Coturnix japonica: one gene and its partners. The protein of the gene in region 4 interacts with the protein of the main gene of each other region in a pairwise test. Links are inferred from orthologs where the notes say so. Each region holds a gene or a part of one and is shown on either strand. Other genes may lie near its edges.

The links.
Region 1: the proteins of YWHAZ (region 4) and YAP1 interact in binary tests that used the Homo sapiens proteins (3 or more experiments, as listed by UniProt). The link is inferred for Coturnix japonica from reciprocal best matches to the Homo sapiens genes YWHAZ and YAP1.
Region 2: the proteins of YWHAZ (region 4) and ITPRID2 interact in a two-hybrid assay, tested with the Homo sapiens proteins (2 studies listed by BioGRID and IntAct). The link is inferred for Coturnix japonica from reciprocal best matches to the Homo sapiens genes YWHAZ and ITPRID2.
Region 3: the proteins of YWHAZ (region 4) and TNFAIP3 interact in a two-hybrid assay, tested with the Homo sapiens proteins (4 studies listed by BioGRID and IntAct). The link is inferred for Coturnix japonica from reciprocal best matches to the Homo sapiens genes YWHAZ and TNFAIP3.

The regions. Positions count from the first base shown.
Region 1 is NC_029516.1:163,400,871-163,404,370, forward strand, and holds part of YAP1 (transcriptional coactivator YAP1), read right to left. Parts: intron 2,434-3,500; coding exon 2,321-2,433; intron 1,674-2,320; coding exon 1,435-1,673; 3' UTR 1-1,434. UniProt on the Homo sapiens protein: Transcriptional regulator with dual roles as a coactivator and corepressor. Critical downstream regulatory target in the Hippo signaling pathway, crucial for organ size control and tumor suppression by restricting proliferation and promoting apoptosis.
Region 2 is NC_029522.1:12,466,704-12,470,203, reverse strand, and holds part of ITPRID2 (protein ITPRID2), read left to right. Parts: intron 1-226; exon of another isoform or gene 227-296; coding exon 297-1,553; intron 1,554-3,500.
Region 3 is NC_029518.1:49,364,165-49,367,664, forward strand, and holds part of TNFAIP3 (tumor necrosis factor alpha-induced protein 3), read right to left. Parts: intron 2,928-3,500; coding exon 2,014-2,927; intron 684-2,013; coding exon 451-683; intron 1-450. UniProt on the Homo sapiens protein: Ubiquitin-editing enzyme that contains both ubiquitin ligase and deubiquitinase activities.
Region 4 is NC_029517.1:116,478,782-116,482,281, forward strand, and holds part of YWHAZ (14-3-3 protein zeta/delta), read right to left. Parts: intron 984-3,500; coding exon 860-983; intron 1-859.

The DNA of each region.
Region 1 (3,500 bases), on a different chromosome or scaffold from region 4:
AAGGTAACTCATATTCACCTCTACCCAATGCTAAGCTCTACTGCTAATATACACTTCATTACTTGCTCACGTCACCATCTAACACGTATCTTTACAGACTTCTACGTCGTGCCCAGGGCTTATTTTTCACCAAACGGAATTTGACAACTATTACACTTCGGAGTTTTTACTGAGGATTCTTGTGTTATTTTTTTTGGTCTTCTAGCCTTTTCATTGCAGCTTACAGTGATGTTCATAGTTCAGACCATTTTCCCACACTAACTCAGGAGAAAATCTTCAGAAGGTTTTTTCCCCTTAAAGAATCTAAACTCATTCAGATACAAAACTGAAAACCAGAGGTGAGCTTGGACGCATCTCGGTCACTGTAAAATTGTTTCTGCTACTTCAAAATGCGTTTTAAAATCGTAAATAGCGCACTTAGCTTCTAATTCAATATCTTGCAAAGAAACATGAAAAATAAGCCACTGGTCATGGATCCTAAGGATTACATTCAAAGCTAGCCTTTAAAAAAAATAGAAAAGTTACGGGCAAAACATACTGTTTTATGTACTCACTAGCTTATTGCGCTACAATAGGCATGGTTTAGGTATAAAAAAAAAAGCAGACAATTCAGATTTAAATAAGACTATGTGAAATCAGAAAAAAAAAAAAACCCTTAGATTTCACTATTTAAAAAAAGAACACCTAGAATTACTTCCCATCCTATAGCTACAGTTAAATCAACTAACAAAAATAATCAAACTATTTTTGACAAACAAGAGTTAGGCTAGAATAAGTGGCAACAATCAAAGTTCATATATGTTTCTATGTAAAAGGACTCATGATTTACTATAACATAAAATATGAACAAGAGCACTTCATGGCTAATGAAGGAGCTACTAGTGGAAACACCTAATGCCAGTTTTCAGCCCTCCTTTAGGTCGTATCTCCAAATCAGTATTGACTTCATTTGACCAGATACATCATTTTCGGCTTGTCACTCCAGTATGTCACGTTTTACCACTTTCCACAGGCAGCAGGAGACAACTAGCTGAGCAAACTACAAGCAGTGACATGCAGAAATTTACTCTCAAATCTGAGTACTTAGATAAAAATGATATGCAAGCGCACACTAGGACAAAAGGAATGGCATTCGTCATTCAAATAGGCTCATCGTTCCCTCCCCCACCCCCCAACAGTAGTTGCAACAGCAATAGAAAAAGGTCAAGAAGATGTCTGTTCTTCAGAGTCAACTGTGGAAAAAAGTCAGCAATATATAACAGCAGCGATGGACAAGGAAGAGCAAAACGAAAGAATCTTGCTGAATATTTGTTCATTTACTTTTTCTGAACACAAGCCAAAGTGTGCCACACTGGCTTGCTCTGAACTTCAGATACAGATGTCCTATTCTCCTTAGATCCTTCACAGATTTAGAATTCAGTCTCCCTGAGGCCCCTATAACCAAGTAAGAAAACTCTCTTTATCTAGCTTGGTGGCTGCCAAGACAGATTCCATGTCATTTAAGATGTCAGAGCTCAAAGCCTCTTGCAGACTTGGCATCAGTTCTTCTCCTTCTATATTCATCCCATCTCCTTCCAGTGTCCCAAGGTCCACATTTGTCCCTGGAATGGCTTCAAGGTAGTCTGGGAATCGGTTCTGATGGGACGGTATGTTACTTTGGCTGATACTGTCACCTAGTTATAACAAAAAGCAAGATGGATGTTCAATTTACTGGAAGTACCAAACCCACAATTAATCACAACTGGTTAAAGGTTAATCCTGGATCCTTTGCATCACTCAAAAACTGTGATTCATAGAAATTCATCACAAAAACTAAAGATGACTTGGCTACATGCAGATGTACGAAGAACTTGCCTTTGTTTCAAACTTTTCATGTCTTAACCTGAATCTTTACAGATCTTTGATCTTTTAGCATGTTTTAGTTTTTATGCATAAAAGACAATAACAAGTCAAATATAATTTGGGAGCAACATTAGCAATACTGATTAAGCATACTTATATAATAATAGTATAGTAATACTGAGTAAGTTCTTAGCTTAGAACTTTTGCTTTCTTAAGAAAGCAAATGGGTATTCAAATTCCATATAGCTGCAGGAATTATTCCCTTTATGAGCCTTCCAGTAGAATTTATTACAAGGATGTTTTTCACAAATTTAACTATAATAGTTCTGCAATAGAAATAGAAGGAGGTAGTACAAACATAACCCCCCCCCCCCCCCCAAAAAACATTGGAGCTTTTCAGAATCACTTGTTTTCACTGCAAAGGGGCTGAGCATTTGATACCAGCACGACTGAAAAGGGTGTATTAAGGAGAACAAACCTGTATCCATCTCATCAACACTGTTCAGGAAGTCATCGGGGGTTCTGGGTACACTGTAACTGCTCATGCTAAGTCCGCTATCTGTGCTTTCATCTCTGGAGTGATATGTTCCACTGTAACAGAAAAAATGCAACAAAAATGAGGGTAGAGCATCGGAGAAACTAAAATAGTTGCACACCCCAGTGCAGGGGTTTTGATAACGTGGCTGTCACAAGAAATGCTCCGTTCTAATTAAAAGCTGAAGTCTGTGTGAGACACCAGTTTTTCATTTTACACTGACCTTTCCCAATGAAAACCACAGCACTGAGGTTCAATTTAACTCAGTAAGAACATACCTAAGCAGCTTTAAGAAACAGCCTATCGATGTTCCACACTGTTTTAAACTTTTCACACCCACCCACAGCTAAAAACCATTCGAAGCATATCACAGTCCTTAACCATTACAGAGCTAATAATGGTGTACATTTCACACTTCAGTAAGGATTAGGAGCATTCTAACTACTAATGTCCCCTTGTTTAATCAGCCACCAAAGTGCATTTTTAGGTCAGTGCTGTTATAAATAGGAGCTACAGTTGGAACTCTTTTAGCAATTCTTCAGTTGCTTCCCGCTGTTGCATTACTACCAGTTCAGTCGTACATGTCATGGCAAGAGGGCCCTGATATAAATCAAATCCTGTACAGAAGCCATTCTGTAAACAAATCCTGTTCAGAATGATCTTGCTGACAGAACAGTTAGCAAGATGGCACAGGGCCTTACGTATATTAGTTTTCTCGCTGCCATCTTACTACCAGTGGAGCAGACAAGACCAAGGGAGCTGCAATGGAAATTTGGGATGGGACTGGGAAGAACAGGCCAATCAGATGACCTACAATCAGCTGGGGGGATCCAGTTTACAGTTGACTTTCTTATAAGTCACATAAACTATTTCTTTGAAAGTAGAACAATAAGAAACGTTTATATACAACAGTGAAAATCATTATCCTGACTGGAATAATTATTTCCAGAAGCTGGAAGGAGCTGCTACTTGTTATACTTAGGCATACATCTGAAAATATTTTGCTGTAATAGCTGAAAGGATGCAAACAGCCCCACCAGTCAAAACGGTCACAAGCGGAAGCAGCTGTAGAACTACACCATTACCTCCCTCCTCTTCTGTCTACTAACAGCCAAGCTTCAAC
Region 2 (3,500 bases), on a different chromosome or scaffold from region 4:
TTTTGGCAGTAATATTTATTATCAAATAAAAAAAAAGAGTGTGAATGGTTTGGCTACTTTTTCTTTTCCCTGCAAACCATCTCCTTTTGGGTGCTGTACTTCAGAATGCTTCTCTGAAACTATGGTTTCTTTATTCTCTTTCATTTTTGCCTGCATACTAATTACATTTTGGATTATTTCACCAAATAATCATAATGCCAAATGAATATGAGCTTAGGCTGTTAACCTGAGTCCTGAGAAAGTGGTAGCTGAGTCTCCAGTATGTTCACTCATTTGCTGTCTTGAATCTTCCCTAGGTTCAGGAGTCTTTGCAAGGCATGGGAAGCAGTGCTGACAGCTGTGACAGTGAGACAACTGTGACATCACATAGTGAAGAACAGAAGACACCAATAGCTAAGGAACGGCCGTGTTTCAATAAGTTTGAGGAGGAAGAAGAGGAGGAAGAAGAGGAGGAGGGTGAGGAAGAGGATGATGAAGAGGATGATATCTCTCAAGTGGAGAAAGGAAAGGTGGAGGTGTATTCTGAAAACCTAAGGATAGATGATAAAAGAAATTGTGACTATGAAGCTGAACAAAATAATGGAGGAGAAAGTAAGTCATCTCACGTACCTAAGATAGCTGGAGGAGAAGGCAGCTCTAAAGATGAAGGCATTTCCAGTGAGCAGAAAGAACTGGGGCTTCTGGAGGAAGGCGTTGATGAAAGCGATCTTGACAACGACACTGCATTTGAGTTTCCTCAGTACCAAACACACCATATCCTTAAGTCTCTGGAGTCTCTGGAAGGTGACGGCTCTACCCCATCGTCCTTAGACAGGGTTCATGTTGCTTTGCAGAGAGCCCAGATGAGGGTCATCAGCACATCTGACTCAAGGGCTGGGCGCTCTTTCTTTAAGTCAAAAGATCTCCTGAGGAAACAAAGACAGTGGTTGGCTGAATCAGGTTATCCTCTAAGGCGATCTCAGTCGCTCCCAACTGCATTACTAAATCCAGTGAAAGTGGTGTCCTCTGTGAATGTCCAGTTAAATCCAGGGAAGGAGACTCTGTGTGGTCCTCCTTCTTTCACCTACAAGTACACACACGTGGAGGAAGATGAAAAACTGACTTCTGAGGATGACAAACAGGAAGATAAGGCAGCTACCAGTCAGCCTGTATGCAAATCAACACTATTCATTGCAACTTCATCCTCTAAAAGAGAAGTGCCCCAGACTGGGCTCAGGAGACTGTCCGAGGTGCCTAGTCCCACCAGGGGACAGAGCTGCCCACTACACACCCCAGCACATATGTCCCAGTCAACATGCTCCCTGCACTCCCTCCCAAATGAGTGGTTGGACAGGCCACTCTGTGAGCACATGAGGACGCTCAGCACCCACAGTGTCCCAAGCATCTCTGGTTCTTCCCTCAGCGCTTTGCTCTCGCCCTTCAGCTGTCCCTTTTCTCCAAGGCACTCTGGATATCCTCATCGACCTCATGCCATCAACCCACCTTCCACTGTAGAAATGCAGCTTCGCAGAGTCCTGCATGACATCAGAAGCTCTCTGCAGAACCTCTCACAGGTAGGAGAAATCAAATGTGCTTCTTATTTTATTTTTTTAAAAATAAAATGTTAACCTGAATATTCTTTCATGTAGTGTAAAAAATCAGGGGGAAAAAACAACACATTGTTCCTGTTTGTTTGCTACTACTTTCAGGAGCTTCTGTTTAAATTGGCAGGTGGTCATCTCTCCAGTGCACCACTATTTTTGTGTTGAAGTTGTTCATGTTGCTCTTGATCCAGATCATTAGTAAACTGATTTTTTTTATTTTTATTAAACTTATGGTTATTCTTAGGTGTGAGGGAGGAGCAACGTATGCCTCATAAGCAGTTATTTTAAAGTGATATTTATTAGCTTTAGATATGAAAATATATCTTGCCTTTAATCTTCACTAATGATTTTAGTGATGATCATTCATTCAACTTAACATTTCTGTGCTGTTTTATGCTAGTGTTGTGCATGTTCAGCTCTGGAGCTACTAAAATAATCTTGAAGTTATCAGCCTTTTATTAAGAATCAATTGTGTCACAGTGTGTGAAATTTTGGTGAATGTGTGAATCTTCTCAATAGTCAGAGAAGAAATGTTTTAGAATGCAAGCATATAGATGTACATGATCTGCTCCAAAAGTAACGCCTCCTATTTTCTTCACGGAAACTGCAACAGATAAAAAGAACACAATAATACTATCAGGTAGAAAAAAAATCAGCTGGAAAACACTTTCATGATATATTCACCACTGTTAGCTATGCATTTTCAGCAGTGGTGAACAAGAACTTGCATGCTGTGCTCATAAAAATCTGCATGGCTGTCCAGAATGCAGCTTGTCTTTCACATTACTGTCGCCACTGATGAAAAGCACCACCCACAGCCTCACTGTGCCAGTATTCATTGTTTGGTCTCTATAAATGTTCAGCAGGTGTTGATGAATGTCCTTGGGTGAAATTTTTTCCACCTGGATGAATTCAGAGGCACATCTTTGCTTCATACACACTTCCATGTCAGACAATGTTTTGTCAGACTGCTCCTCTACTGCCATCTGTTTCATGGCTACAAAATGTAGTGTAATACTGGTGGGAAGGTTCAAGCTCTACTGCTTTATTACCAACAGCTATGATATCAGCTGCCTCTGATATCATGGGCCAGCATAATAAAATAGGAAGCATTACTTTCAGAACAGCCCTTGTATATGTATTTTTGCTGGCTTCTCTGATGTCTTCTGCTGTTTTCATTAGCAACTGTCTCTACTCCACCATTACTGTACTGCTATTGTCTGAGGTAGTGATCCAACTTAGGAGCCTGCGGAGTGGTTCTATGGGCAGGGCATTTGCAGACCCTGCCTGTTAATATGTGAATGCATGAAAATTATGCAGTTGTGGAACCTCATTGTCTTCTGTGAGGTGTTTAATCGAAAACAAACATCTGATTTTCTGCACCCTGTTGCTGGTGGTGAGCTTTAGTGAGCTTTTTTAGGCACCCTGTTCTTCTGTTTTTGTTGTCCATTGTCCAAAACCTGAGGCTAGTTGTGCCTGACTTGGGTTTTCTGAGCTGGCCCTGCTCAAGGTAGCCAAAAGCATGTGTGGGTGTGAGCAGTTGCAGAATTTAACTTTCTTTGTAAAATTCACTTGTGTGTATAAACTGCAGTCTTGCTGTGTGTAAGGATACTCTTGCAGAATGCTAGCTGAATCTACTGAAAAAGAGAACTTTGTATTACATTCAGATCTCTCGTTTGTGCTGACTCAATAAAAATAAAGTTGCACTAGTATTAGAGGGGATAATAAGCTCCCTGTCCACTTGTCCTGCTTCCAGAGTGATTTGTCTAGACCAGTCCCATTTTGGGGGATGTGTTCCTTCTTGTTCCTGAGATTTCTGTGAAAAACTGTTGTTTTCAACACGTAGTTTCCTTGTAGTGTTTTTCTCTACAGCCAAAATTGAATTTGTAACTCAGTGTACTCAGCTTCCTATAGGAA
Region 3 (3,500 bases), on a different chromosome or scaffold from region 4:
AGAAAAATAGGTTTTGTATCTTTGGTAATTCTCAATTCTAAAACCAAAACAGACCAAGTGAAATAGCCTGGAACAGAAAATCTGTGATGTGCTCAACGAAAAAAGCAAGACAAAGCAGAGTAAATCTCTTGATGAAGTTACATAGCTCTAAAGGGATGAATGAAAACCCCTGTACAGCCAGCAAACAAAGTCAGCCATGGGTTCACTGAAACTGCAGGGCAAATTCTAGGTAGGTAAAATAGAACCAACAGCCACGAAAATACTAAATTGAGGATGTGCATTAGAAGTACTGCTCAGTTGTAGCAAGTGGAAATCATGAGATACCTTACACTAGTCTTCCCATGACACTTAGAAATTCTCATGTTGCTGCATCCTATTACACTCTCTGAGTCACTCTCACAAGGGAAAAACATGCTAAACAAGAGGAAGGTTTTCAGAGTTCATACTTACTTCAGGCTGTCTCACTAGCTGTTCTTCAGTCCTCCTGGCTTCCTGAAATCGCTGGCTCTGGGCTTTAATGAAACAGTTCTGGCAGTAGCCTTCCAGCATGGTACTACCCAGGGTGCCACAGTTCTGCTGCTGGCAAGACATGGTATTGTGGAATGCAGCAGCTGAGCTCCCCTGTTGACCAGCTGCTGAGGAATTCCTCTGAGATCTCCTCTGGTGGCGTAGTGAAGCACTGTCTGTAATGCAAAGAAAGGATGAGGAAATGTGTGAATGAGCCCAAAAGATGTTATGGCCCAAAGTGATTACAAAAGTTCCTCAATTGGCAAAGAAAAAAAAAAAACCAAAAATCTGCTAGTCTCAAACACTGCATTTTGACAACTCCGATACCACTCAGTCAGAGCACATTCCTTCAGCTTACATAAACAAAGGGCTAATAGAGACTAAGCTTTACATCAAACAGCTGATTCGAGAAGAACCTGCTCACAGCATGGAAACTGGATCTCAATAAAGACGAGGAAAATCACCATCGGTTTTAGAATGGCACCTGCAATACATCCCAACTCTTCCCTTCTGTCCTCCTTCATTTCAATCACATGGGGTAGTGGAAATATAGTAGTACAGAGCTTAATAGGTTAATGCACCCTAAACCTCTTAATTTAATGAGGCAATCATATATTCCACAATCATAACAGTTTTCTATGTGAACAACACTCAAAAATAAGCTTTTGTAAGCTAGCATAATAGGCCCTTGATGTAAAAGTACATGGAAAATGTAGCACTGATCTGCTTGTCAGCAACGGAACTGTCTTGAGATAAGTATTATTTTCCTCTCACATGTGCATCCCACCCTCTGTATCCAAAGGCAGTTGCCTGTGAAACAGCAGCAGCATGGAAGCTGATGATTTCCCAACATGATTAATTTACAGACTATTTTAGGACTTAATTTTAAGCTTATGCATAGAGTATCAAGAAACATTTCAAGGTACATTATAACCATATATTCCTATGTTACTATCAAATACTTATTTTGTATTGTCTACACATTATATTTGCATATTAACCACAGACAAATTCTCCTTGCTCTGTTTATTGAGATTTCAGTCATTACTCCAGTGTTATATCTGTTAAACCCAGAACGGATACAGATCTTCAAATTCATGCCAAGTTTTTAGAAAGCCTTCCAAACACAACTGGTTTTCACTAACATCAATACAACATCACTTCCCTCACCAGTTCCTAGAACTGGTCTAGCTATGATGAAGTTTAACCTGAGAAGATTTATACCAAAACATTACTACAGTGTAGGGTTGGAAGGCATCAAAAATGATGCTTGATTGAAGTTTTTCTTTCATGGAAGGCAATGGGAAGTTTTACAAGATTTCATATATCCCACACTGTTATTGCATGCCTCTCATTTGGGATAGCAACAGCCAATAAAGCACATTTTCCTCATACTGCTGCTTCTGCTACACAGTGTTTGTCACCTCTTGATCTTTCAGAGCACAGCACACGCAAAACTTCAGTTTCACCATCTGCACATCTAACAAAGCTCACATCTTCACTTACCGTGGTTTTCCCTGTATTCAAAGAAGCACAGCGTGCAAAAGCCCTCATTCTGTGCTGTTCCAAAAAACTTGCAGCCAGGTTTCCTGCAGAGCTTACTTCCCTTCTCCTCCAAAGCACGTGGGGCATGAGGCAGCGCGGCCAAGAGTGGCTCGTTGCAGTTGCTGTTGGGAGTTTGCTGGCAGGAATGCTGAAGGAGGCTCTGTGGGATCTGGGATGGGTCAGATGTAGATCTCTGATGGCACGCGGGTACAAAACCAGGGCTGCCATTTGAAGAGCGCTCTGTAGTCCTTTTGAAACAAGTGCTGCATATGCCATTAAATGTCCTGTTGGCCTTCTGGTGGCACACCTTACACGTGGCATAGTCCAAACGCCTCTGGTTGTCCAAATTGTTACTAGCAGCAAGCTGTCTGGCATTGTAGCAGCGTTCACAAAGTCCGTTGTGTTGCACATTTAAGGTGAAGGGGCAGTCTGGAGTCCGGCATTTCATGGCAGTGGTTTCACTATAGAGGAAAAGGCTGGGAGCAGTTGGGGGTGCAGAGTGAGGCCCTGTTACAGCCTCCTCAGACATCCATCCCCCAGGTTCACAAGCTTTACCACTGGACCCAGCTGCCTTCAGTTTCTCAGGTGCTGCTTCGGAGACCTGCTTTCTTCCTTTGATTCCCTGCGACCTCCGCTCAAAGCACTCATGGCAGTAGGGCTGGGTGTTCACAGACATATAGAAAGGGCAGTTTGGAGTTTCACATTTCACCTGTAAGAGGGAGAGCTGGGAAAAAGACAGTTCCTGTCTGTTCCTGGAGCAGGCCTCTTTTCTGGCAGGTTCAGCGTGCTCCTGCCATTTCTTGTACTCGTGCTGCACCAGTTGAAAGTAATCTTCCACAAGATTTATTTCTTTGGGCAGATTGCCTTCATCCAACCTAACAGACATTAAAAAAATAATATACATGTATATATAATATATATAATATATAATAATAATATATATATACATACACACACACATATATACACACACATATATACATACATACACACACACAATATATATATATGGTTGAAAAGGGCAGATGGAAGGGGAGGAGGCAAATATAAGCCACATGGGGAGGAAATGTACATTTAATACACATCCATATTACTCAGCTAGAAGATCTAGGATGTTAAACTGTTGCTGTAAATGGAAATAATTTTAGAAGCAGGTGTTCAGTGATGTCAAATAGAGACTTTCACATCTAAAGAAATGGACTCGCACGGTACTAAACGGAAGTATTCTTGAAAGGATTTTCAAGGTGAGGTTTTTCTGTCTCTGAAAGCTGTTTGCGGGAGGAATAATCGGATAACCTTTCAGAAATAAAAAGAAAATCCCCTAAATTCTAAATTTGTCTGAAGACCTGTGCTCAGTAGTTGAAACTAGAGTGTCAGATCTCCTTCTTCACCAGCCCATGCTAAAAACAAACCTTTCATACTCTAGACACAGTACTTCGTGATAAACT
Region 4 (3,500 bases):
TACAGTCAGTAACTATCCTTATGAGAGTGTACCTTCTAGTTTGTAAATGAGAGATTACTGAACAAAAATACATCTGCTATGGTACACAGTAACACATTTATTTATTACACATGTGGTTCTGCAGTCACCAAGACTAGGTCAGCTTGCATGCAGCAAACACTAGAAGTCAAATCAAACACTGTTTATTAAGTCTTATCTTACTCGTCTTCATTACTATCCAGCAGACTGTGGAGACTGGCTCCAGGAAACAGCTTGGAGTTTGCTGTGAACAGTGCTATCTAAATGTAATAGATTCTCCTGAACTGAAGATGACTGCACAAAGACAAGGTGTTATTTAGGTGCCTCTTCAATACACTAGGTGGCTTAATGGCTGCAGTTAAGTACATTATTTTAACTTTACTTACCAAACACGAGTAAAGGCAACTTACCTGCTATGAGGACAAGCTACATGAGAAATTTAGGAAATAAAAACCATTTAGAAATCAAACTACCGTGGTTATGGAAAAAAATTACTGAACATCTGTTTCATTAATCCTTTCCTTCCCCAGGTGTATTCTAGTCTCCCTGCTCACTAAACTTATACAGACGTTCTTATGTGCTGCAGAAACGCAGGAGAACTAGCACTAAAGCACTTCAGAAAGCTACAGTGACTCCCTACGAAGAGGTAAAAACAGTACTCAGAGAGCCAGGAAAAAAAGCATTAACTGGTATGTCAGCGATAAGGCACATTCTTGTATGCATACACTGGATCTGATTTCAAGATTCTGTGACTGCAGAATCTGAAAAAGAAGTATTCCAAAAGTTACTGTAGCGTTGCTGTCCACTAAACTGACCAAAGATTTAGCGACAATTGACATACCTTTCTTGTCATCTCCAGCAGCAACCTCAGCCAAGTAACGGTAATAATCACCTTTCATTTTCAAATAGAAAACTTTGCTTTCTGCTTGCGAAGCATTAGGGATCAAGAACTTTTCCAACAGAGACTAAAAGAGAAGCAAAGAACAGCGTTTTGAACATGCATACTTTCATAGCTTTTGAACCAACAGTTTGATTATGCTACCATCTATTTCAAAGTCAAGACAAAAATAGGCAGAAGTAAAGCTGTCACATCCTACATAGCGTATTCGGCTAAGGAAAAAATGTGTTCTGGATCATAATTCTGGGTACTAAAAGGAACGATCCATGCTGTGACTCTATAGGGAGAACAGGAAAGAAGTCTGTTCATTTAGCAGATGAATGCTGAAGGGCCAGAGGAACGGTTTGTGTAGGCCCTGACAAAAATAATGTCATCCAAAGAGTCTGGGCAGAGCGTACACAATGGAATGAAGTCAGCATCCACAGATGATAAAAGGACTCAAAATATCAGCTGCCAAATCAGAGACCCAAATACCTTACATACACAGGCAATGGGAACTAGGCCAGGCTAATGAGGTTGTGGGTTTTTTTAATTAGTGTTAAGTGGAACTCTACATTTGGATCACCAAAGAGAAACTGCACAGTGAATCTGGATTCCTGCCTTTCTAGACAGTTGAATCAACAGCTGCTCAGCTGTGTGACTACATGCTGCCCATCCCTTCCAAAGCAACGGCAGCTCTCTGGAGTCACCCCACCAAATCCCCCCATATGAGCTGCCAGTTAAGACCAGGTATTTTTCTTTTCTAGATTGTTCTAACTGCTTATTAAATCAGCAATGCAAGTTACCAGCTGAAGCAGTCATGTAATTTAGCAGGAGTTCTATTATGATGAAAAGAAGAAAAAAAAAAAAAAAAAATCACTAGCTCCAACACATTTAGTCAAATTAAGGCACAAGCCTGTCAAACTTCTTGATAGTGAGTTCTTGAAGTCAGACTTTGAAAGAAAAGCCAGTTATTTAAAAACCAGAATAAGTGCAGAAGTGCTGTTGAGTACTCAAAATGAAATTAGAAACTGTTACATAAACTTTGCTAAGGCTATGTAACAATTTAATGTTTTATTTTTCTCTAAGAATTTTTGGATGTCTTCCCCCTCACCCCCCACTTCCAATTAGATGAATGACATTTCAGTTTCGCTGTTTTCAGCTCATCTTTCCAATGACACCACAGAAACGCGTGATGTAATGCAGGTCAAGCCCACAGAATTATGGCCACCTTACAGTGCTTCCTTGCAGATAGCAACCTCTGTGTTAACTGCATGTCTCCTGTATTCCTATTCACAACAGGAATACGGCACCACTGTGTCCCAATGGCACCTGTGGCACGGCTTTGGCCAATAAGCCAGCTGACATCAAGCTACAGAAAACTCAGTCAGAGACAGGAAGAAAAAGAGTGAACAAGTTTAAATATTGCTAATTTATTTATACAGATCATGAATATTTAGTCTAGTAGACTCAAACTTGTGAAAACTGTCAAAGTGAAGTGACCTATTGTAGTAGATCTCTGTCAGCAGACAGGGTAATGAAGAAGTTAGGCTGCCAGAAACAGGAGTTAGACAAGGTTCAGCCACACTTACGCTCCAGTTAGATTAAAATAACCCATACTAAGTGGGCTTCATTTGTTTCAACATAACGGGGGAAAGAGACATCTTTACTAATTGCTATTTCCTGCATGGCCAGGGCTGGCCTATAATCTCACTTTATAACAATGCAAGGATACATCAAGAAATACCACGCTCTTGCTTCCTGTTGGAGTGACAGCAGAGATGATCCTTTGGTAGCAAAGGGAACGTAACACAATCAAGGCAGCAGCAGCACAGTCACACAGCCAAACAGGCTGCCCAGCTGCCAGAGGCATCATTCTGGAAGGCACAAGCTATACCAGGAGGGCTTGGTGCCACTGCTGCCACAGCACTACTGGCACAAGCAGAGGGCTGCCAAGTACACAAGGCACACATTGGCCCTCTGTAACTACTTACAGCTCTGCTCTTACCCTTATGGAACTCCAGCATTCACAGCTATGATACTTATCGTCCTTGCCAAGACGGTGACTTCAGTGACAACTGAAGGGTTTTTTTACTACTGAGAGTAAGTCTTTTATAATTAGGCTGTCTCTGTAGGACTGCAATTAAGGCAGTTGCAGACTGCACCCACCACCCTCCCAGCACTGTGGGGAGCTGCCCTCCTTCCGTACACTCCATTAATTGGCCTGATCAAGGTATTTGCACTGATCAAGAAACAAATTCTCCATTTCTAAAGGAAGCTGACTGAAGAGAACAGCTCTGCCCAGTCCCACTGCAGCAACCAGCTTTCCAGACCTGAACTTCACTTAAGTCTCAAGTGAGTTAACCATACAAGTAGACATGGAGGAGAAAAAGCTATCAGTTAAGTCTTAATCATCAGATAGATGCTAGCAGGGCAATAGCTGCTTGGAGAATAAGAATCCTAGCAAAAAGTGTTCTAAGCCAACATTGAAGACTGCTGAGCTAGGAAAAACCCATTGAACAGTTGTTCATTCACACAGCATAACCTATGTCAAGTTTAACTCCTGGACTGCACATGCAGCCCATTCTTATCTGGATGAAGGAAG